Linked DNA regions of Saccharomyces cerevisiae S288C. The protein of the gene in region 1 interacts with the protein of each later gene in a biochemical or structural test. Each region holds a gene or a part of one and is shown on either strand. Other genes may lie near its edges. The genes, in order: LFT1 and LAA1.

The links.
Region 2: the proteins of LFT1 (region 1) and LAA1 form a complex in vitro, tested with the Saccharomyces cerevisiae proteins (one study listed by BioGRID).

What each region holds. Positions count from the first base shown.
Region 1 is NC_001145.3:199,080-209,969, reverse strand, and holds LFT1 (Lft1p), read left to right. Parts: upstream 1-4,561; coding exon 4,562-5,584; downstream 5,585-10,890. Other genes in the region: SRC1 (Src1p), read right to left, coding at 1-445; AMD1 (AMP deaminase), read left to right, coding at 1,110-3,542; CGI121 (Cgi121p), read right to left, coding at 3,677-3,766, 3,873-4,328; YMD8 (Ymd8p), read left to right, coding at 5,867-7,195.
Region 2 is NC_001142.9:38,820-54,395, forward strand, and holds LAA1 (AP-1 complex accessory protein LAA1), read right to left. Parts: upstream 8,615-15,576; coding exon 2,570-8,614; downstream 1-2,569. Other genes in the region: CBP1 (Cbp1p), read left to right, coding at 1-1,150; NUC1 (ribonuclease), read right to left, coding at 1,375-2,364; YJL206C (uncharacterized protein), read right to left, coding at 8,840-11,116; NCE101 (Nce101p), read right to left, coding at 11,320-11,449, 11,593-11,624; RCY1 (Rcy1p), read right to left, coding at 11,810-14,332; PRP21 (Prp21p), read left to right, coding at 14,522-15,364; ECM25 (Ecm25p), read left to right, coding at 15,560-15,576. UniProt on the Saccharomyces cerevisiae protein: Involved in localization of clathrin adapter protein complex-1 (AP-1) and subsequent AP-1-mediated clathrin-coated vesicle cargo loading.

The DNA.
Region 1 (10,890 bases):
CATCGTCCACTTCATCGGTATCCGTTCCACTAGGTACAATTAAAGGATCGTCTTTTTTATCATTGTCATCATCATCATCATCATCATCATCATCATCATTACTTACATCATCCAGTATTCTATTCTTCTTAAACTGTTTGGCCATGGGGGAAGCAGATTTCTCCCTGCGAGCTCGTCTACTTCTACGAGGGGAAGCTATAGATGGGGAAGATGAGGGACGGTCCATTTTCACAATACCTTCATCGCTGGGCCGAACGTTCAGATACATTTTCCGTAACTGCGGGATCTGCGGTTTAACCTTTTCATCGAACAGCCCCACCAGCGCATTTTTCCTAGCATTAGATGGGAAATCGACATTATTTTCTACCAATATCCTCCTCAAAGTCGCAACTTTCATTGAATTCGGATCAAAACCGTCCTCTAAATACTCCAAGTCACTATTCATCGCGGCACTAACTGAGTACTGCTACCGTTCTACTGTTTGTTGTTCTGGCCTCTACGTTCACTCCGTATGGTCTCAGTCTACTATTAATAATGACTGAGGACTATTTCTCTTCCATGTATTCCGCATAGTATATTGACAGCTATACAAGTAGATCGATGTCCAGATTAGCCACCACAAATTGAAACCAAAACAAAAACAAAGGGGGCTTCCTAAAACAGTAATTTTGAGGGCTCTTTAAAACCCTTGATTTCCGTTCAGGGTGATCAATATATATATCCTAGTTATTTTATAGATGCCCTAACTTTATTTTTAGGGCACGTGGGGGTCTTCTCTTTTCTTTTTTCATTCCTTTTTCATCTTTTTTTTGCGCCTGGCGATGATGAGAAAGGAGTTCTAGTAGCACAAGGTTTAAAGGATATTATCAAAAAATAGATAAATTTTAAAAAAAAAAAAAAGGCATCTCTTGACGACTTTTCTTCTCTCTCTCTACAGGCAGAATTAGCAGCGTTTCTCGTATACTAGTCAATTATCGGATATTAATAGTATTTTTATTATAGTCTCCCTGCTATAGCCAATTTTGATTCAGCAAAACTCGATTGAACTGCTAGTACGCCAGATTAATAAATTATATAACAAATAAAAAGGGGGCATTCTAAAAAAAATTATGGACAATCAGGCTACACAGAGGCTTAACGACCTTTCTCTAGAACCAGCTCCTTCACACGATGAACAAGATGGTTCAGGACTAGTCATTGACATAGATCAAAGAAAGATTGGTGATGAACAAGCTGGTGTCGTAGTGGATGATGAGACACCCCCCTTAGAGCAGCAAGATTCACACGAAAGTTTAGCTGCTGATTCTCGGAATGCTAATTTCTCGTATCACGAGAATCAGCAGTTGTTGGAAAATGGCACCAAACAGTTGGCCCTAGATGAGCATGATTCTCACTCTGCCATCTTGGAGCAACCATCGCATTCTACCAATTGTAGCTCTTCCAACATAGCAGCGATGAATAAGGGCCATGACTCGGCAGACCATGCATCTCAAAATTCCGGGGGTAAACCGAGGACCTTGTCTGCTAGTGCTCAGCATATCTTGCCAGAGACGCTCAAGTCATTTGCCGGCGCTCCGGTAGTGAATAAGCAGGTACGTACCTCTGCCTCCTATAAAATGGGAATGTTGGCTGATGATGCTTCACAGCAGTTTCTTGATGATCCCTCTTCCGAGTTGATTGACTTGTATTCCAAAGTGGCAGAGTGTAGAAATTTGAGAGCCAAATATCAGACCATATCTGTGCAAAACGATGATCAAAACCCAAAAAATAAGCCAGGCTGGGTAGTCTATCCACCACCACCTAAACCTTCATACAACTCAGACACTAAGACTGTTGTGCCAGTAACAAACAAGCCGGATGCGGAAGTTTTCGATTTTACGAAATGTGAAATTCCTGGTGAGGATCCAGATTGGGAATTTACCCTCAACGATGACGACTCGTACGTGGTACACAGATCAGGTAAGACGGATGAGTTAATTGCTCAAATCCCTACCCTTCGTGACTACTATCTGGATCTAGAAAAAATGATTTCCATCTCATCAGACGGTCCCGCTAAATCATTTGCTTATAGAAGGCTGCAATACCTAGAAGCACGCTGGAATCTTTACTATCTCTTGAACGAATATCAAGAAACTAGCGTTTCCAAAAGAAACCCACACAGGGATTTTTATAATGTTAGGAAAGTGGACACTCACGTTCACCATTCTGCTTGTATGAACCAAAAGCACTTATTACGTTTCATTAAACACAAATTGAGACATTCCAAAGATGAAAAGGTTATTTTCAGGGACGGGAAACTACTAACTTTAGACGAAGTATTCCGTTCTTTGCATTTGACTGGATATGATTTATCCATCGATACTTTAGATATGCATGCACATAAGGATACATTCCACAGATTCGATAAATTCAACTTAAAATATAACCCTATCGGTGAATCTCGTCTCAGAGAAATTTTTTTGAAGACAAACAACTACATCAAGGGTACCTACTTGGCTGACATTACCAAACAAGTCATATTCGATTTAGAGAATTCAAAATACCAAAACTGTGAGTATAGAATTTCTGTTTATGGCAGGTCTCTCGATGAATGGGATAAACTAGCTAGCTGGGTGATTGACAACAAAGTTATTTCCCATAATGTTCGTTGGTTAGTCCAAATTCCGAGGTTATATGATATTTACAAGAAAACTGGCATTGTTCAAAGCTTCCAGGACATCTGTAAGAATCTGTTTCAGCCACTATTTGAAGTGACCAAAAATCCTCAGTCTCATCCAAAATTGCATGTATTTTTACAGAGAGTAATTGGGTTTGATTCTGTCGATGATGAATCCAAGGTTGATCGCCGCTTTCATAGGAAATATCCCAAGCCATCACTCTGGGAGGCTCCTCAAAACCCTCCTTATTCCTATTACCTGTACTATTTGTATTCAAATGTCGCGTCTTTGAATCAATGGAGGGCTAAGAGAGGGTTTAACACTTTGGTTTTGAGACCACATTGTGGTGAAGCCGGTGACCCCGAGCATCTCGTTTCAGCATATCTATTGGCACATGGTATATCACATGGTATTTTATTGAGGAAAGTTCCATTTGTTCAATACTTATACTATTTAGATCAGGTTGGTATCGCAATGTCACCCCTTTCTAATAACGCATTATTTTTGACCTATGATAAAAACCCATTTCCGAGATACTTTAAAAGAGGTTTGAATGTCTCACTATCCACAGATGATCCTTTACAATTCTCATATACCAGAGAACCATTAATCGAAGAATACTCAGTTGCAGCACAAATTTATAAATTGTCTAATGTAGATATGTGTGAATTGGCAAGAAATTCCGTGTTGCAAAGTGGGTGGGAAGCACAAATCAAAAAACATTGGATAGGGAAAGATTTTGACAAGAGTGGTGTTGAAGGTAACGATGTGGTTAGAACAAATGTTCCTGATATTAGAATTAACTACAGATACGATACATTATCAACTGAACTGGAATTAGTTAATCATTTTGCCAATTTCAAGAGAACCATTGAAGAAAAGTGATGGTTATACGCGCACATGTATATAAGGAGAACTTTTGGCAGTTCGATACACTGACTTCACGGAGAACAAATAATACTAATCTGAAAAATAATCAAAGAATTTTTTTTATAATTTTATCGTTAGATATCTCTTATCTACACACCCCTCAATTGAATAGCGTCTACCAAAGCTCTTGAGAGACCATTTACGTCTTGGGGCTTGAAATCATCACTTAATTTATAGATCTAATAGGTAAAAACAAAATAAAAGGAAAACAAAGGTGAAGTTAGTACAATGTGTTTCTGGTGAGGCTGTTGAAGTTTTTACCTCGAATTTATTATTAAAACATACTTTTCTTATGAGCGCTTCGTCATAAAATCTCGATAAATTGTCATCATTAAACTCGATCTCTTGTCCTTTTACTATAGAAGTCATAATCGTCCTCAATTGCTCTTTGTCTACATCGTCAGTATTAGTATGGAACTTAAGGCATATTAACTGTGACGAATCGTCTTTGATTCCGAATTTGAGGAAAGCATCACTAATATTGGAAGTGGGTGAAAGACATAGTACGCACTCGGAATTCAAATTTCTTGTTCTCATCTTGTTATATTTCACTTCTATTAAGGTCTTGTAAATTGCAGAATACATCTGCTCCCCCGAACAGACTAACCGGGGGTCAATAAAGGCAAAGGATGTCGACAATTCACTCATTTTAGAGCGTATTTCTTTAGCATTTTTAACCTGTTCAAACAATGCTAGTGAAACCTTGATATCAGGAAATTGCGGTATGATGGATACTACCATGATGATTGTATAATGGGCAGCGACGACGTATATTTGGTTATATCGACAAATTTGTTGACCGATAAAAGATTGTTGATGTATATTTTGGTTTGCAATTGAAATTTTCGCGCAAAAGATTAAACATGAAATATTGAAATCAATGGTATTAATGATCAACGAATATTACAGATCATCAATTAAAGAAACAAGCATTGTCAGAATCTAAGCTGGTTATTTTTTGGGAAGGACAAATTATGGACGAAAACAAAATAATCGACCAGTTGTTCAGTAAGGAATACACACCGCAAGATGACTCCGAGCAAGCCAAAAATGGAGATGTGTCGTTATATGGGTTATTAGATGAAGTAGCGAACGGTAGGCGGTTGATGAACTGTTTGTTTCATTCACCTATGCAAATGGGGAATAAATTGAGTACCGACAAACTTGATGGGAAATGTCGGCAAATACAAAGAGATTGGATTGATGAGGAAAAAACCATAACTATGAATTCTGGCGCTTTACAGCTGGATGGGCCAGTTCTATTTTCCTGGAGTCATAATGTAGCACCTACTTCTCATCAAGAAACTATAAATACAACCTTCAAGCAGGGCTCTCCGAGCAGAGGAAGCAACAAGCCCAAAATTACTACTACCAGTCAGTTATTTGATAGAGCTTCTGCTGAGATTGATAAGTGTATAAAGCCCAATAGCAAAAGTTGGATGGTGGAAGAAAGATTTGAGAGAAATGAGGCACATACAGCTGATGGCAAGAAACCTTCTACGTGGGCTAATTCCGATTTCAAAGTGGACCCGCTACAGAAATTCGTTGTTAAGGAATTGCCCAAAGAAAAGAAGAAATCAGACGGTGATAAGACAAAGAAAAATAAGTCGAAAAGGAAGAGTTTTTTTGGATTTTGGGGCCATTCTGGTTCTAAATCAGGTTCAAAAAAGAAATCCGAAAAGCCTATAGAGGCCAAAAATGAAATTCAGGATGAGGTAAGCCAAAAATCTGGCCTATCACCTGACGATGATACAACTTTCAGTGATAAAAATACCATCCAATCAAAGCAAGAGAGTATGAGTGATCAACAAGCTGAACCCAAAGTACACGAGCCCGCAGTTACTAACACTGGATGCAGTGAACATGATGATGGTGATGGATTTGAACAGGTACCTGCACAATCTAGTTATCATCCATCCAGCGAGCCCAGCATTGCCAGCACTCCTTCATTAACTCTAGATTCATTCATCCCATTACAACCAAAGAAGAAAATATAATAGATGCTTGTAGGCTTCAACATCTATTAGAGTCATCGGCGACGAGACGCCAAAAAATAAAGCGCAAAATAATCACACCCATTTTTTTTGTCGAGAATGAGAAGGAGATGGCTTAGAACTGGAAATATAAGGGATAGTGGCATCACGAGAAGCTGTTGTTCTGTTTTTTTAAAGTGTCAATTGGCCTGATTATACTCATAACTGCATTTTCATCACTTCCACGATCACTTGAAGTTGTTACAGCGAGTGTTTATACCTTCAATTCTCGTGTCACATTTTGCTATGAATAGGACTGTCTTTTTGGCATTTGTATTTGGATGGTATTTCTGTTCAATAGCTCTCTCCATATACAATAGATGGATGTTCGATCCGAAGGACGGATTGGGTATTGGGTATCCCGTGTTGGTGACAACATTCCATCAGGCTACTTTATGGTTACTATCCGGCATATACATTAAGCTCAGGCATAAGCCAGTGAAAAACGTTTTAAGAAAGAATAATGGTTTTAACTGGAGTTTTTTTCTAAAATTTTTACTCCCTACGGCAGTCGCTTCTGCAGGTGATATCGGGCTCAGTAACGTTTCCTTCCAGTATGTTCCCTTGACAATTTATACAATTATCAAATCTTCGAGCATAGCTTTTGTCCTTTTATTCGGCTGTATCTTCAAGCTAGAAAAGTTTCATTGGAAGTTGGCACTTTCAGTAATAATTATGTTTGTTGGTGTAGCATTAATGGTTTTCAAACCAAGCGATTCCACCAGTACCAAAAACGACCAAGCCTTGGTCATTTTTGGCAGCTTTCTTGTCCTAGCAAGTAGCTGTCTTTCTGGGTTAAGGTGGGTTTATACGCAGTTGATGCTTAGGAACAACCCAATTCAAACTAACACCGCTGCAGCAGTAGAGGAATCTGATGGTGCCCTTTTCACGGAAAATGAAGATAATGTCGATAATGAACCTGTTGTTAACCTCGCCAATAACAAAATGCTGGAGAATTTTGGAGAATCCAAGCCTCACCCAATTCATACAATCCACCAGTTAGCTCCTATAATGGGCATTACTCTGTTGCTTACCTCGCTACTTGTGGAAAAACCATTTCCTGGTATATTCAGCTCTAGCATATTTAGGCTTGATACGAGCAATGGCGGTGTCGGCACGGAAACTACCGTCCTATCCATTGTGAGGGGTATTGTTTTGTTAATTTTACCTGGTTTTGCAGTCTTTTTGTTGACAATTTGTGAGTTTAGTATTTTGGAGCAAACGCCCGTGCTGACCGTATCTATTGTGGGTATAGTGAAGGAACTTTTGACGGTAATATTTGGTATAATTATTCTTTCTGAAAGATTAAGTGGTTTTTACAATTGGTTAGGAATGCTTATTATTATGGCAGATGTATGCTATTATAATTACTTCAGATATAAGCAAGATCTATTACAAAAATATCATTCAGTTTCGACACAAGATAATCGTAACGAGTTAAAGGGATTTCAAGACTTCGAACAGTTAGGAAGCAAGAAAATCGCACCATATTCTATTAGTGTCGACCTAACAAATCAAGAGTATGAGCTTGATATGATTGCTCAAAACGTTAGTCGTTCATCCCAGCAGGTCTGAGAGCGATATAGTAAGAGAGAGAAAGAATAAAGGCAAAAATTTAAAACATGTATACAGCATACTTAAAAGTCCTCTAACAGGACATAAGCAAAGCACATGGGAATAGACAATACATCCGCACATAATTAAAAATATTTTACTAGATAGATTTTATACGAAGGTTCTTCACACTTTTTCATATATACTTTATTGACAGTTAATAAAAGAACATTATCAAATTTATACCTTTGCGTTTTAGACACTAAATTATTGAATACAGGAAAGAAGAGGCACTTAGATAAATCTTTAGAAATTTACTTATTTCTTTCATTTAAATTGGCCAATGCTTTTGGATCCATTCAACTGCGGCCGTAAAAATATCGATGCGCTTGCATTGTGTTCAACCTCTGTCTCGCCGAATCTTTAGCTGAAGTAAGGAAGAATTGTTTGATAATTTTGGTTAGGTAAATAATTTCACGTATAATGAACCAGAAGTCCTCGAGAAAACTGGAAAGTTAACGAAACAGAATGAGCATCCTTACACAATTTTAACATTCATCTGATGATTGCTGATATTCCATTGTTGATAAAGGCTATAATATTAGGTATACAGAATATACTAGAAGTTCTCCTCGAGGATATAGGAATCCTCAAAATGGAATCTATATTTCTACATACTAATATTACGATTATTCCTCATTCCGTTTTATATGTTTATATTCATTGATCCTATTACATTATCAATCCTTGCGTTTCAGCTTCCACTAATTTAGATGACTATTTCTCATCATTTGCGTCATCTTCTAACACCGTATATGATAATATACTAGTAATGTAAATACTAGTTAGTAGATGATAGTTGATTTCTATTCCAACATACCACCCATAATGTAATAGATCTAATGAATCCATTTGTTAGTTAATAGTTTAAATGTTTTTATCGGAAGAGGTTTTGTCATCACATCAGCAATGTTCTTCTTGGTCTCGATGTAGTATACGTATAAATTATTACCTGATACTTCATCTCTAAGTCTCATTGCCTTTGTGCCAAAAAATCTGTTTCTAAATTTCTCTTCATTTGTAGACTTAATTATACTGATCGTTGATCTACTATCAGTAAGTAAGCCTTTAATAATTGGTTTCTTGTTAAGTTCTTGTATCAGGTAACTTAGATTATTTAATAATGGGACAGATTCACTTATCGCGTGTATTTCTGCTTCCGTAGTTGAAGTACATGTTAATGAAGCCTTGGTGGACTTTCCTCCAATTACCTTTCCATTAAGTAAATATATGTTGCCAATTTGTGATTTATAATACGGTTGGTTGCCATACGAAGCATCACTTATTGCGACTAGTTTATTATCTGGCTCGGTAGGTTTGTTTTTGTGCCATATCAGTTGTTTATCTCTAGTGTCCCACATGAATTGTATCAACTCATATGTCATGTCTAAAACTTGCCTAGAGGGGAATAGTATATGTTGAGCAAGTGTGTTGATGTAGTATAGTAAGTCAAATCTAAATTTATATCCAACATATGAAGCTAGACCAATCAACTTTTGCATTTCATGTACCTTCTCTTTGTATTCATCTTCATCTATTTCTAGTTCATCCTGGTCTATATAAAGACCTGGTTGACCTGGAGCGCTAAGTTTTCTTCCTTTTGGATTCAAAGGTACGTTTAATTTGGGTATTTTCTCAGTTAATGAGTTTTCCATACCTAATTTCATGTATTTACCTCTTTGATATTTGATTTCTAAGCCAAGTATGTCGTACTGAATTTCGTTATCACTTTCACCCAGATTTATTATCTTTGTATCGTATTGTTTCTTGAGTGTTGTTATGATTTTCTTATTTGCATTTAAGTCTTTGCTGAATAAAATCATGTCGTCAACAAATAAACATATTGTTACTTGACTATTCTTAAATACGCATGACCATCCACGAACTTCTTCCATACCACACTGTTTTATCAGGTATGATTTGATAGTTTCGTACCAGTTCGCTCCACTTTGTTTCAATCCATAAAGTGATTTCTTCAAACGTATCAACTTATCATTCATTCCTAAATGTGGTGGAGGTCTTATGTATAATTCTTCTTTGATGTCTGCATACAAATATGCCGAAGATATGTCTAATTGTGTAATATAGTAGTTATTGTCTAATGCAAGTGACAGGGATGTCATTAATGCATAGTGATGTACGGTATTGGATTGCATGCCTGAGTCGTAAGTGTCAGGATGCTGAATATCACCTCTTGCAACAAATCTAGCTTTATGAGTACCGTCACGTTTCTTGTTGAAGATAAACATTGAGTTTATTACTCTTTTAGGGTCTATTTCTTTTCTGTCATAATATTCGTCAGTGTCCCAAGTTTTCATCTTCAACAGTTGATTGACTTCTTTGTGGTATGCCTCGATATATTTTTCTTTTTCTTTAATATCTTTATTATAGGTGATTGCCTCATCGTATCGTAAGGTTGTCCGTATTGGTTTGATTGATTTTACTGCTTTTACAGCTGCAATCAGGTGAATTCGTTTCTTCGATCTCGGAGGTTCTAAACTACGCATATTCTTAGTATTCCATGTGTCTCGTGATACCTTAATTTCAGTTTCATTATCTTCTAATGATCTTTTCTTACTGTTGATAGTAGTATAGGCATTAGAGTCACCAATACCACCCAAACTGGAATTAGTTTGATGAGAATTTATCGGTGGGAGTTCTTTAAATGGGTCAGGGAATTCGGTAGGAGATTCTGGAGGTAGATCAGGGAGTGGGAGATCAGCGATGATAGATTCCTCGGTATTCTGTTCAGAAACAGTAGTTGGCGTTTTGATAGGAACAATATTGTGCGATGAATTATTTTCCGGTGGAGAAGCATCGATTGAAGGTGAACGGTGTATAATCCTTTTCTCAGTCTCTTGGTCACTTATCTGCGGAACAGTTTTGTTGTTGGTACCACCCGTACTGGATATTGGTACGTTTGTATGATTAGTCTCATTTTCACTGTACGAGTCTGAGTGTCTGAAATCTTTAGATTTACTGGCGTGCGACGACTCATGTGTGTTAGATTGGGACATGGGAGCAAGTAAAGGAACATTTAATTTATGCATACCACCCGAACCGGTACTCTCGATATTGGAAATTTGGGGGGTGCTAGATCTCTTCTTTGATGGAAGAATATTAGATTCAGATATGTTGGGGTCAACTTCTCTGGGTGCGCGAATATTGGTTTTAGAAACACGTTTCGAATCTTCAGTATGAGTTGACGGAGGTGTGGAATCGGTTGGACTCACAGCTTTTGAAAGGACATTTCTCGGTTGCTCAGGATGTAGTTCGATGTCAGATTGGAAGTCATGGTCAGATTCTATGTTAAGATCATCGGATTGTTGGATCTCATTTGACGCAATGAACGATTGATATGAAGCAGTTAAACGGTTTAAGTCTTCATCGAAAGTGAGTGCGTCGTAATTGAATTGATCTAATCTGGATTCCTTGCCCTGAAGAATAACATAGTTAGTTGTATCTACTGTCTTCTTTAAGGATGGAAGATAGATGATATATCCATAAGAGTTTCGAGACGGATGTAGAGCGTAGCCTGGGATGCCACGAGGATGTATTTTGGAGTTAGGGTTGTGATCATTGACGATAACAGGTTGACCGAAAGGTAACAAAGTACTGATATCAAGTCCTGCCAAGCCAGCATGTTGTCTTGCAGA
Region 2 (15,576 bases), on another chromosome or scaffold:
GCTTGCGTACAAGTCCATTGATGAAAATTATAGAAGAGGAAATGTTGCAAGTGTGTATTCTATTTGGAACAAAATCAAAGAGCACTATGTTTCCATTTCTGCACATGATTCCAGAATCATTTATAAAGTCTTCAAGATTTGTACCCATAATAGAGCCTATAGATCTATATGTAGCGAAATGTTTTGGCAATTAACTCCAGAGTACTATTGTAATAACCCTTTGATATTACCGGCAATTATTGACTTCATTACAAAGCAAGACTCTTTAACAATGGCCAAGGAACTCATGCAGAACATTAACAGATACACTTTACCCGAAAACCATCATATTGTCTGGCTTAACAAGAGATGTCTTTCTTCATTGCTAAGAATGCATTTGAAATTTAACGATTCTAACGGTGTAGATAGGGTTTTGAAGCAAATAACAACAAATTTCAGGGCGCTTTCGCAAGAAAATTATCAAGCAATAATTATTCACCTTTTCAAAACACAAAACCTCGATCATATCGCTAAGGCAGTCAAATTACTCGATACTATACCCCCCGGACAAGCAATGTTAGCCTATGGGTCAATAATTAACGAAGTAGTTGATTGGAAATTGGCTTCAAAGGTCAAGTTCACCGATAATTTGATGGCACTTGTAAACGATTTGTTGACGAAGGCACATGATTTTGATCCTGACCACAGAAACTCTCTTTGGAATGTGGTTTCCGCTTTATACATTAAAAAACTTTGTCATTATAAAAAGCGAGATGGTAAATTTGTTGCCAATGCCAAGAAGGATATCGATTTGGCAAAACTACTTTATATAAATGCTGCAAAGAGAAGTAAAACATACTGGACAAAATCGAACTGTAACCCATTCATTGCATCCTCCCCATGTGATGTCAAATTAAAAGTGAATAATCAAAACAGGTTTACTATTTTAAGGAATATTGCATTAAGCGCACTGCAGATAGGAAGAACAGACATTTTTCTTTGGGCGTGCGCAGAACTATACCAGAACGGTATGACGATTGAGGAATTGAAGTTAGACTGGAATTTCATCTTAAAACATCAAATTAGAAATTCAGAGTTCAAAACAAACAAGGAGATCATACAAGATATTAAAAAGCATGGTGTGTCGGCTGTCAAACGTTACTTAAGATGAACGGCCAAACGCACATTTACGATATAAATAACAAAGCAAATAATAACAAAACAAATTTCTGTAAATATATACTAAATCCAAGCATTGCATCCTAATTCTTTTCTTTTTTTGATCATCAAATAAATGTATTATTTTATGTTATATGCGTTAGACTTGTTATATTCTTTCATGCTATTCTATCGTTGTGTTATGAATTAATTTATATTTACAGTTTTTCAGTACATTCAATTCCTTTTTTTTGGAGGAGGTAACAATTTCACATCTTTCGATTGTTTGATCGCCGCGTTAGAGAAATCTCTCACTACAATTTGACAATTTACCTCTTTGCATAATGCCTTCTTCTTTGAAGGTGGTACTTTTTGCAGAAGTTCTAGCCCAGTACTTCTCTCTAAAGCATCTATAGGAACTTCAAAGTCAGTCAATTTCGTCTCATTTGATATCGGTTCGTTTGGCAATACAAATGCCGCGACAGCAATATCCTCTCTAGCAGGATTGGCTGTTGGTGCTTCTGCAACAATCAATTTAAAAAAGTGCGTTGGAACAGCAATACTGGGTGGATTGCCAATAACTTCATAATTAACCCTAAATTTATTATCTATGGGATCCTTTTTGGGTAGATACAATGGACCAGTCACGATTCTTACACTCTTATATTTCTTAGTCAATCCCCTACAAAAGTACTCCAAATGCGCCCAATAGTCTCTATTAAAACCTTCTCCTACTTGAGGACACATATTGGATAAGTAGAATGTATCATCCATGGCCTGTTGAGAAAATTTTGCGTCTGCAGCTGGGGCTTGATGGCCTCGATCATAGCCCGACCTAAAATAGTCTCTTAGTTTACCTCTAAACTTTTCTGGAATTACTTCATCTTCCTTGAAAAAGGAATTTTTTCTGTCAGCATTCCTTGCAGCCAATGATTCTGGCGTTATATGTTCGAGGACCCAATAAGGATTTTGAGTTTGTCTGTTGTAACATGAGATAAACTCTTCGCGGTTCTGCAGATCATGAATCGGACCAGGAAAACCATACTTGAAGAACCCGGAAGGATCGACGTTGAAAGAGTGAGATTGAATATTACTATTAGGTTTCTGGGTAGGTGGATAAGGTGTCTCAATGATTTGCGTTGGAGAATGTTTGTTCAAAAGAAGATAGGTTAAGCCAGTACCAGCACCCAGTCCGACTAAACCGGACAAGAGTATCCTACTGCACATGATAACTTTAACTTTGGGATCTAATAAGTGGGGAACTTAACTAAATGTTCTTATCTTTATACAATTGTAACTCTATAAAAACTAACAAATTACTTGATGAGTGACCAATAACCAATTGCACCATTGATATTTTTTCACAGATTTTATTTTTTTTTTCTTTTTTCGCGATGAGTTTTATTTCCGTGCATATGCATCCGACTTGCAATTAGTCGAAAGATTTCAGTTGAAAGGCCTCTTCGACAGAGCCCAAAGACTGCGATTTAACGTATGCCTCCATCACGGAACCTATAATTGCTTTTTGTTGAGGACTTATAGTGCTAGAAATGGCTTCTTTAAATGAATTTTTGTCCAATTTAGCCAAAGCAACTATGCCACTTGCTACTTCGTTGTCTATTTTCTCTGTATATGCGCTATGATATGCGGCAAAGAAAGAAAGACATAAAGCAATTGACAATGATGCCTTTTGGTGATCTTGTTTGATTACTTCCTCGGAAAACTGAATTATCAACTTAGTTTTAATGCTTGCCTGCGATAAGGAATCGTTTGTTTGAATATCTTGAAAGAATCTTTTTATAACCAACTTCATAAAATACTGCAACAACGGGTATTTGAAAATATTAGATATTATTCTCTTGAAGCCTTGTAGAGCAATTGGCTGCGTAGCAGGATTATTCAATGCCTCCGAGAGAATATTTGCGCACTGATTCAGTTCCTGAAAACTTAGCTTAGAGTATCCATTAGACAGCAAGATCAAAATGGTTGCAACTTTATTCTTTGAATCCAGCTTATGATAAATAACATCTTTTATTGACCCGTAGAATATTTCTAGTAACACAATATTTTTTTCGTCCTCAGATTCCGTAAGCGCTTTTACTAGTGCCTTGAAAAGTGGGAGTATGATTGGAATTATTACTTCACGATGACTACATTCATAAATTTTCCCTATGATGAATAAAAGACATGAATAAAGATCTACTTTGAACATATTGTCGAAGTTACTGATATTTGATTCGAACGCAATAAATGTTTTTTTCAACAGACTAATATCTGTGGGAGAGATTTTTATTTCATTATCATCTTCTTCGCTGGTAAGCACGTTATACTTAATAAATGGCAACCTCTCAGAAATAATTGTCATCAGTAGTCGCAGTAGCTCATATAGTTTGTCAATATCTTGTAGAAATGTTTCAGGAGTAGCATTACACTTCGAATACCCAATGATCAAGTCACTGATGATATCAACAAGCAAAAATTCTTCTTTACTGTCGCCTGTAGAAATCAGTCTGTCCATAATCTCAACAACTTCAGTAATAATATCATCCTCAAATATACTTTTTATGCACAGATTGCTCTTCAAAACATTGTGTAAAGCCGGTAAAACTTGCATCTTGACTGAATGATCATCAATATTTTTGACGATAGCCTCCAAACATTGGCTAAATAAAATAAAAAGAAAATACTCTAATTCCTCATCGTTAAGAGATGCCAAAATGACTTGAACGTCTGAATCCAGAGTGCACCCAAGGGCCTCTACGAAATTTAACCAGACCGGTTCATATAACTCAATTTTCGTACTTCTTGGTTCAATGAGACTATTTTCTTTCGAGTCATTCTTTACTTGCACAGTAGAATCATTATCGTTATACTTTATCATCATGTATTCACGTAAAGAAATGATCCATAATGGGACTAAAATGCTCCAATATTTCCTGGTAAAAGAGAAAAGCGCATCATTTGACGACGTGATGGATCTTTGCACTACCTCAGCCCACGCATCCAAAACGGCAAGTTCAATTTTTCTTTTCGCTTTGGGTGTAACGATTATAGCTTCCCCTATCCGTATACCGGAATTAGGATCTTTAAAGTTACCAAGAAGGTCAATTAGTAATTGTGAAATTCTTCCCAATTTATCTGGTGGCATTATATTCGATGCCAACACTTCAGCAGCAACAGTAATAGCAAAGGACATTACAGTAGGTGAGCTTCCTTTACTAAAAGCAGGCATTAATGCGCTAGTTATTTGGGCCTCTTGCTGTTCTAAAATCGACGATCCAGGAACCTGAGGATCTCTCATGGTGGAGTAGTTCTTGAGAACAAAATTCAAAATGTGTAGTCCCGTTAACTTCATGCCTTCATTCCTCACTGTAGATCCACGAAATGATATTTTAATGAGATCTGCAATTTTGTTGCTGAGGGCAAGGAGCAGATTTTCATATTTTTCGGATTCTAAGCACAACATTAATATTAAATTTAAGATAATCTGTCTGCTCTTCCATTGCAGGTTCTCAGAGTCGAGACCACCAGCATCTGTGTCAGTCAGTTGGTTAACATTCGCTATTGATTCTTCTTCTTCGCCTTTAATTTCCTTTTCTGAAGATTTTTTTAGGCCATTTACCTCTAGTAGGGCTGAAACGTCTCTGTTATAGCTTTGGAAGAGTCTTCCTAAACTCATATTAAATATTGAGTATAATTTATCGAACCAATGATTATCTCTTTTGAAAGTATGTAATATCCATTCGGTAAAATAATTCTTGACAGAACCGGAATTTGGAAAAAGTGCGAGATATCTCCAGCTCAAATTTTCCATTTCTTTCATGAAAAATTCCTCCATCTGTAATTTGTACAACAACGTCAATAAATCAAAGTTTTCAAAGGCGCCTTTCAGACTTGAAGTTCGAGAAATGAGTTCATTTGAGCCCGTGAATGTAGTGTCAAAATATGATGAGCCTATTCCAGTCACTATTGAACTTTTAATTATGCTCTTAGAAGCAAGAATAAAGATTTCATAGTTTAGAATGTTTTTCATTTTAAAAGTAGCTATGTTTTCAAACATTTTAATGCTGGTTATGCTGTTGAGAATATTATTTGAAATTAACATGGAGAGTGTAATGTTTCTGAACGAATCAAGAACCTTGGTGTTAAGTTCTAGAAAATTTGGCCCCACAGTTTCAGTCAATGTCCTTGAAATTTCACCGATTGCTACGTGAGAATTAAAGTCCCTATTATAGTTACAGCGAAGAGTAGAGCGTCCGTAAATACCATACTTATCCTGGACCAAAAGCTCTTCCATAGAACTTAGCAACAGAGCTGCCGTCTTTAAATCAATCACTAAATGTTTCTCAAGAAGAATATGCATTGCTTTCAATGACCATGAATGAACAACAGGGTGTGGATCCCTCATTAATGCAAAAATTACATCAAAGTATTCTTCAAAATTAGCATATTGTGAGTTATATTTAAAAATTGTAGCCAATGATAAGACATGAAACATCCTTAAGTATGGTTCGTCCATATCTGCGACGTTTTTAATGAATATTCTTGATTGCTCTGTAAGGAATTTTTGTCTTTCTTCATCGCCAAGTGTTCTTGCGATAGCCGCTGTCAGCAATCCTACACAATCTGCCTTGATTTTTGTGAGAAAAATGTCATTAAAAAACTGAATCTTCTTTATTGATTCGATAATTAGCTGCCCCACTGAATAGTCCAACTCTAGATTGTTTTCTTGCATGATGCGTAAAGCATTATGCAGAGCACTACAAACATTAGCAGCCACAGCCACGCTTCTCAATGGTGTAGTCATTTTGGAGAACATGGACAAATTTAAAGTTTCCATAATGGAATACTGTATTTTGCTATTCAAAAAAGGGAATACAGATGAAAAAAGTTCCATAGAAGAGTCGATTAAAGATGTAGTGACCTGAGGTGCGTAGCGGTCAATTTGGGAATAAGACCCAGATCCATATAGTAGAATCAGTGAATCTAAAGATAAAATGGGTGAAATTGGTTTTGATACTTCTACTTCGAAAATATTGTACCAATTGTAATCCTTGGATGGCCAACTTCCACTTATTGATTCATCATACTTGTAAGCACTGGACATCGATAAATTCACGATACGGTCCCCAGTTATTTTGCTGGATAGGCCGAATGCAAAGCCGTTGTTTTGACGAAGTAAAGTATTAATTGAAGATTCTAATACTATATTACTTTCCATGTCGTCCTTGTTACTCACTTTCCTGTTACCAATATCTTTCAAGCTTCCCAAAACGGAACTACTTGACTCGGTGTAAAGATTGGGATCTGAAAAATTCTTCACGATTAATATTAGTAAAGAACTATTAAAATCGCTATTTATGTATTTCTCCAGCTTAAGGTATACCTGTAAAATTCTGTTTTCATTATGCAGTAAAGCATTGTCAATGTTTTTCGATTTCAGGTCAATGGAATGATTAAAATTGGAGCACTTAGTTAGCAAATATGATACTTGTTTAGCCATTTCTTTATCAATTGTCGTATTGCTTAAATACGTCAATAAACAAGTCAATGCATGATTTCGGATTTCTAGGTTCTTGTATAATTCATCCTCGTCGTGGTATGTGTAGGTATGTGTTAATAAAACTTTCCAGAAAAGAAATAGTTGGGGTATCTGCAGCTTCAAATACTGTTCATCTTTATAATTCATCAATCCTATCAATAATATCCAGCATAAAAGACCCTTGAAGTACAAATTAGAAGAGGTAGATGTAGTATTATTCTTAATGAATGATGTAGAAAACACTGTAATTCTCATGATCAACTCATAGGAAATATAATCGCTCTCGGCACCTTTGATTAGATTTGCTATTATAAAAGCATGGCCATGATTTTTATGAAAAATAAATTTTCCTGTAGATTTAAAATCAGTGGATAGTGCACGTAAGGAGTTTTCAATGGTCTCCGAAAGATATTCTGGACAGTTGTTCAAAAAAACCTTCAAAATTTCCACAGTGTGAACTCGTATCGTAAAGATTTCACATGTAGCTAAATCAACCAGTTTATCTCTAATCTCTTTAACGGTATTTTCCTCAGTGGTGAAAGTAGAACCTAAGTCGCTGATTAACACATACGTGAAGTCAAGCTGCAGTAATGTAAGCCACTGTGTTTCAGGCTTCGCATCAATACTATATTTGAAATTTGAAGCTGAATCACTTTTAGAGGAGCTCTGGTAAGTATCAGAACAACCTAGGATGTAGTACAACATTTGAGTCTTTGCAGAATCATTCAAATGTGGCAATATTACTTCATGCATATGTTGAAAGTATCTCAAATACCTTGATAATGTATTCATGCTCCTATTATTCACTTCGTAACTGCTGAAGACGCCGCTTAAAGAGAGAACTATATCCAAATATTTTGAGTTACTCAAAAAAGTGTTGTCAGCTAATAAATTCAAGTTTATCAAATGAATAATAGATTCGAAGCAACCACTTTCCACGTCTCGTGTATCACAGTTTAAGAATATCTTAACGTAGATGGACCATACTTCTTGTAGAGTTAAAATATTTTTAGAAAAGTAATAATCAAATAATATCTCCGCTAAAGATTTTGCGGTAAAGATACGAGTTTCGTCGTTTGCAAAACCATAAACACCTATTTCACCTTCGGTAAATCTAGAATATATGGTCTCTATAATATCATGGGAGTGCTCTCTGATAAAATTAGTTTGTTTGAAATGAGCTGTCCAGCATTCAATTAGGACAGACACAAAAGTAACTGAAAAGTCCTTCTCATCAGTGGAAATACTGTCAAAAACGGTTTTGGATAGTTTCGAAAATTTCGCATATGTGGCTGGATCAAGGATTTTATCATCATTATTGGAATTTCTTAGAATCGCATTAAAAAGCTGAAGAAGGGTTGTCATGAAGGTAGCATGATAATATTTACTTTTCTCCATAATTTTTTTCAGGTTTTTGAAAATAGCATTAAATAACAATGGGATTAAGGAAGAGATGCTACTTCCAAAATTTTCAAATAATTGAACAAGTATGGTACATGCGATATCTTTTGCCGGTGAGTATATGTACTTTTTTTTTTTTGTACTTGACTTCTTCTTTTTTTTCTTTTGGTTAGGGTCGGTATCTCCATCATCAATGGATACATCTTCTTCACACAATACGTTTGTTAAGAATGCTGCGGAATCAAAAACTACACCAGGATATTCGTCCTTCAAACGCCATATGGAAATCGTATAGAGCTGAGACAAACTGATAAACACTGAATGCAGTTCTAAATCATCCGTATTTTCTAGTACGGAGATATACCTCACAAACTCATCCAGTTGAGTGTGTATTTCCTTAACCTCCTGTATTTCATTATCATTAACTTCTTTCAAACATATAAGCTTTTCCAAATTGGTGGTTATCCAAGTTAATAAATCGTGACCATTGTTTGATGATGTTTCTATCACTTTCTTGAGGGATCGGTTTGCCATTTTCGTGGCCTGGGCTATTTATTTTATCTTTTAGTTTTTTTTAAACCTAATAACTATTATTTCAATTGAATAATAACAAATCACTGTTTCAATATGGCGATGAAAAAAAAAACGGCCACACACGGTATGCCACTATGTGGTGTGAGGAAGCAGATAAAATAATAATACATAAAAAGAAGGATGTAGAAGAATATACAGATATAAAGAAGTCGCGAGTTTAAAGGTTCAATTTACTGTTGGGTCAGAGCTGAATTCTGAGGAAAATATTTGATTGTTGGCAGAAGAATCTTGGCCAATTAGTGCTGAAAAATCGATGACATCAGGTAATACTCTGTTAATTGAGTAGTCAAATTCCTCAAATTCTGCTAGAAGTTTATCTAAGTATTCTTCTTGTGCAGCTGTCGTTGTATGGCTCTCATTATTGGTATTCTGAAACTTTAGATCAGCTTCCCCTTGTGGAAGATTCAGAATGGAACGAAGACTCGTGGCTGGAGTTTGGTGATGCTGCTGTCCATGATGTAATTCTCCTTGGCACTTCGTAAAATTATTATTTGTCTGCAACTGGGGCACTAAAGCTCCACTACTTTCTTGCCGTTGCAATTTAACTATATTCAAAAGTTGTTCAGATAATACAGAGGTCTTCTCGTTAAACTCTTTGAACAATTGGTTCAATACTTCAAAAGTACGTTTACTCGCATTTGAAGCACCCTTCAAAAGTGATAATATTTCACTGCCAAGCTGCGTAGCGTTATGAATATCCGAATCAACCTTCCCATTTCGTATCAGGCCCTTTTCTGTTTGGTAGACATAAAATTTGAGGCAAGCAACACTAAAAAAGATTGTATGAATGGAAAACCAGTAGCTACCACTCAAAAGGTTTTGCGTAATCATTTCATAAGATAATTGAATAACTTTTTTGGCAACTTCAATACAGTTTTCCGCCATGTGAATTTGAAATTGGAACTCTGGGATATCTAACGGGTCTATAGAAATATAGTGGTAGAATGGTTTATAGAGTACGATTTTGGATAGAAGGAAGTCCAGATATAATAATTTCTTAGGTTTAGTGTATGGAGAACTAGTATCATTTGCGGAAACAGTTAGAGGTGGTTGCGTTTGACGATACCGTATTGTGTCAACCTTCAAAATATCTGGTAATTGGGCATACCAATTATCTAATTGATCGTTCAACGATACAATCTGCGTCCTAGAATCCTCTTCTAATGGTTTTCTTCTCAAAGAGTACATTAGCTTGTAGATCCGAGACATGATTAAAATAAGCTTTGTATGCTTATTATTCATTCCACAGGAACTTATCGTTCGCCAATCTTGAAACTTTATTCCAATAGTAGATATATTTTCATCGTCGACGTCTAGAGGAAACTCTTGGTCGATATCAGATTCGTCGATACCGCTTGGAAAACCAAGAATACAATTCATGTACAGATCTAGTTTGTACACAGACCAAAAGAGCCTTTTTTTTGTCTCATCCTGAATCGGAGTAGGACCAACTATGGAAGACCGCCTGTGTAAACCTTCCTTTAACGCAGCACGCAGAGCGATACCAATGAACGAATAGCAAGCCTTCAAGTTTGCTGAACATTGCAAAAAGATCGTCATCATAAATATAGCTTGAATGGAATAGATGTCAGTAATATTAGAAAAGTCCAAAGAGTTTTTGGCCTCTAAAAAGTATCTGTAGCCTTCATCAGTGTAAAATTCCCTAGTTGCTTTACTATCCTTGCTGAGATCTTCCTTAGAAAAAAGGGCTCCGACTGCTAAAACAGAATAAATTAAAGGTTGTGTTTTCACTTGTTCTGGAGTATATTGCTTGCCATGTTTTTCTGCTTCGTATATCGAGTCCAAGATAGAAATGATAGTAGGTCTGTGATAGAACCTAAATAGCACACAGGCACAATCCCAGGTCTTTTGAATAAATTTCAAGGCAATCTCTCTGGGTGGTAATGGAACACTTGTTTGCATGTGCCAAGGCGTATCTTTTGGTAGACTTTGACGTATTACCTGATTAACATTTAATTGTCCTTGAAGTAGACACGTTTTAATAGTGTCCAAAAAATTCTGGCTGTTAAAAGAAGAAGAAGCAAGTATTTGACGGAGTGTTTCAGGTGGAAAGATCGTCTCTACAACCTTTTTGTAATCAATGGAACTTATAGGGCCCTTGCTATCTTCCCGTTCGTGGGAAGCTCTCTGTGCATATAAGGAACTATCATCGCTTACTTCCCTATCAAATACCGATGAGTTCCGTGGGGGGCGATCATATTTGCATTCGTAACTATTAGTCTGGCAAAGTCTACATGGTATATTACCACTACATCGTACTTTCCTCTTTCTGCAAGCTATGCAAGCTCGATGTGCTCTTCCTTTCGTTGGCTTCAATTCGTTGGTGCCCGCATCTCTAGATAAAACCAAAATCTTAGATCTCTTGCCTTTCAACTTCTTCATTGCACACGAAATAGGCTTTCCAGATTCTTTCGGCGTCATCTATTGAATAATTCTTTGGTCTAAGTTGTATGTATTACTCTTTAAATTGAGACAATCAAGGAAATCACACATATAAAAATACTGTGGATCTGAAAGATTGGGTTTTTATAGGATAAATGCGTATAAAGGTAGATCCTAGGATTAATTATTATGGTATTTACATATCGCCAGAAACTTATATATACTCCCCTCACGCCGGATTATTATTTGCGATCGTCCCATCGCTTCTTTATGAGCTCGTGTAAATGATGACCTTGTGGACGCCCCATTTTCCTTTCGTACACATAGTAGCTGAGACAGCCTACCATAATTGCCAATAACGGATCAGAAAATCTGCAATAGAGACCAGCTTGGGAAAGAGCACATCGACTTGTTTGATGTTGCCTCTTCGAAACAGCAAATGGTTAACTATGCGTTAGTAAAAGAATAAGTGTGAAAAAAAAAAAAATAGAATAGCGTATGAAGAATGAACATACTTTCCTAATAGAAAGGGAGCGTACTGAACCATGTTATCGATGATCTTGTGTGGAATCCTCTTATAAATGGAGTGAACATTTGTATGCCCCTTGTGTGCGTGTGGCTAACAGGGAAAAATAGAGCCCGCGTAATCTTGAATAATCTAATATGTGAACAGTCTTTTATTTCCGCACTTCATACCTATATAGAGTAATATAATTAATCATTGATAGGAATTTACATAATGCAGCAATCTCGTATGCCTAGGCCGTACATTACCTTTTCAACGTCTTTCCGTACACGAACCCAATCGCTTCTCCTCTGAACAAATTCATAAATTTCCTCTTGCGTAAAAATGCCATTGAATTTCCCAAGATCAGAAATAAGCTTTCCCAACTCTTTCGAGTCCTTGCCTGAAATGATGTATAACTGGCCAATAGACTTAAGCCCAACAAAATAGGGAACAACATTTTTTTGTTTTAATTTGTTAGCAATAAAATCGTAAAAGTAATTTAAATCGCAGATTAACCAAATTGCGCCCTCCGTAGATATGAAGCACTTCTTCAGATGTTTGACGATTTCATTAAAGAATCTCTCGCCAATTTCTTGTTGGTACACGTCAATAGTACCCTTGTCTGTGGCACCAGTCAGTAGAAAGCAATGATTAGAAAGTAACTCGACTACCCTGATAGCACATTTGGTTGGCTTTATATCCCTTATTGGAGAATTCCTAGAGGGTGGCGGTGGATTATAATCGTCAGGCAATTGAAGAGTCTTGAATACAAATGAGATTTCATCCATTAGTTTGTTTATACCGATATTTAAACCTTCGGCTACAAAATCATCGATAGAAGTCTCAAAATTTTTTTTTAATTGGATAACATCATTAAGAAAATCTTTATTTTTATCGATAATTTTTTTGGGAATCAATTCGTTCTTGTAAAAAATGGAAATCATTTGTAATATTATGTCACCTATATTGATAAGTTCAGTGAATTGTACTAAAGGTTCGACTTGAGTATTGGCTGGCGAAAGTGAATTGAATTTTATTTCTATTTGTTCTATTTCGTTAGGATTATATTTTTGTAGTAGCAGGATTGCCTTTTCAAATGCAGGTTTAACGTGATTTTTATTCAATTGTGTAATTAAAATTTTGAAAATCTCTTGACAGCGTAGCTTGATCAATGGTAGCAAACTTTCAATCGTATGAAATTTGTAAATTTGATCCGTCTTTTCGCTTGTTTCCTGTAAAATTTTGTAACATAAATCGAGACTTATTAACGATTTAATGTTTTGCAAGTTATTGGAAATTAAATTTAAGTTGTAGGCTAGTTGTAGTTGTTGCTTTAGCCTTTGATTTTCATTGTTCGAGAACTTGAAAATCTTGGTGAAGGAACTTAGAAAGTCTAGTTTATCATTAGAAATATCAGTTGAATGAACTGATTGATGGATCGTACTTGGTTTTGAATCCGCTTCTGGGACAGTTTTGGAGGTTTCAGTAATTATTGAGAGGTCATTCGGCAATTCATTGTTACTTGCACTCGAAGCATCCGTTTGATCTTTTAAAGTGTTATAAATTTTTGCGTTTTGCTCACGCTGCTTGTCTTGAACTTGTGTGTCATAATTAGCTAATTGTGAGTTGATCAATGATTCAAATACTCTAGTTGTCTGATTCATATAGTTGACAACAAAGGGCTCGAGATACAGGTTTAAAAGGTCACGAACAACTTTACGGAAATTTGCGCCTGCGTTTACTGAGTCGTTTAATTCAGTATCAAACTTTTTTATAAATGTGAAATAAAGTTCGGGTACGCATTCATAATTGGCTTTACTATCCTTTCCATTTTCTTTTAAAAATTCACTATAGCTTAATAAGATATTGTTTAAAATATCTAATAAAATATCTTGGATAAAGGACTCGATGAACTGTAATATTACAGGGAACTCATCTTTGAATAAAATGTCCGCTAATTTAATCTTTTCGTTGAGGAAATCCCTTAGCTGATTGAGAAACGTATCTAAATTTTTAGAATTAAATATCACGGTACTCCCACCGCTGTCCTCTTCCCTTGGTTGTTCGGCCCAAAATAATTCATCATTAGACGGCAAAACCGTTAAACTGGGAGGCAAATCAGCCTTTGACTTGAAAAATTCGATAGCATTGCTTTCCTCATTAGATATCAATAAAATTTTCATGAAACGAGCGACGGCAGCTAAATTATTAGACTGGTAATTCAATTCTGACTCTTTGAGAACAGAATTAATGAAGATTTCCCTAAGAATGTTGAAATTAGTTTCAATCCTAGTAAATGTTTCTATATCATTTTTATTCGAGAAATTGTACTTTTTGATAAAATTTAGAATTCTTGTTTGTTTCAACGGATCGTTGGAATATGAAGTAGGAAAGAAATTTGCTAGATTATTATTATATAGCTTCCTAGCGTATGAGTTATAACAACGGTAAAATTTCACAAAGATTTTTTTAGAATTTTGAGCAGTGAAAGATTTGTATATTTCGAAGATGCGAAGGGAATTTTGATTATCATTTTCATCCAGCAACGTAATTTCTTCTTCTTCATTTGAATGCACCTGTTGGAGACCCATTCTAGTCAATTTCAATGACCAATACTTTGAATCATTTTTGCCGTTAATGATTGCATAAACCCGTTTATTCACTTGTTGAAAACTCAGATAATCTACAGTAGATAAATATGAGGCAATATTGGTTACAATCTCGGGAACTTTTAGCAGATCATCCATTTTACCGATTTCCTCAAAAGCTTTTGTTTTCTTTTGGTTTTTCTATTGTTTGTCTGTTGACCATTTTTTGATAAAATAAGAACCTTCCTTCAACGAAATATTTCGGCAAAAGTTAGCCTTGAAACACTTAAATACAGGAAGAAATAAGGTAAAGCGTAAAACTAACAGCAATAATTTGCAGTTGTATAAATGGAACCAGAAGATACCCAGCTGAAAGAGGACATTAAAACCACAGTAAATTACATAAAGCAGCATGGTGTTGAGTTTGAGAACAAACTGCTAGAAGATGAGAGATTCTCATTCATCAAGAAAGATGACCCACTCCATGAATACTACACCAAACTCATGAATGAGCCAACAGACACTGTCAGCGGTGAAGATAATGACAGAAAGAGTGAGCGAGAGATAGCAAGGCCGCCGGATTTTCTGTTCTCTCAATATGATACTGGAATATCCCGAAGAGACATGGAAGTAATCAAATTGACAGCACGCTACTATGCAAAGGATAAAAGTATTGTTGAACAGATGATTTCAAAGGATGGTGAAGCCAGATTAAACTTTATGAACAGCTCACATCCGCTACATAAGACATTCACTGATTTTGTCGCCCAGTACAAGCGAGTATATTCTTTTACTGGTCAAGAAATCAAGAAAAGTAAGAGAACCATTTTAGATAATTGTTTTGAGAGAACACAGTATTGGGAATTTGAGAAAGATAAAGACCGGGAACATGATAAGCTCGTAGAGTTGTGCAAAATACAATTTGCAGCCATTCCATGGGATAAATTTACTCAAGTGGCAAAATTTTCTATCCCTGAAGACACAGAAATCTTCGAAGGCTCTCTAGATTTAGAACAGATGAGGCTGCGAAGAGTACAAACTGGTATTAAGTTATTCGATAGTATCAAGCCGACAAATGAAGAAGAAAAGATAGTATCCGACCAAGGTAAGCAAAAAGGAGGAGATAGTAAGGGCAAAAAGCGTAAAATTAGAGCTGTGGGAGAGACAAGGTTAAAGAAAAGTAAAAAATAAGCCTCATGAAAATCAAAGTTAGCTAGAAGTATGTAAAGGTTGATGATGCACCGTAATTGAGCACATGTATCACTATTAACGGCGTACGTATTTTGGCGTTTTTTCATGTTGATGTTATTTTGTATATAGAAAGTGAAATTCTCGAGGATATGGCCCTACTGGATAATACTATTGGTAGCGTGAAAGAAGGCCAGGATGATAGATATCAACGT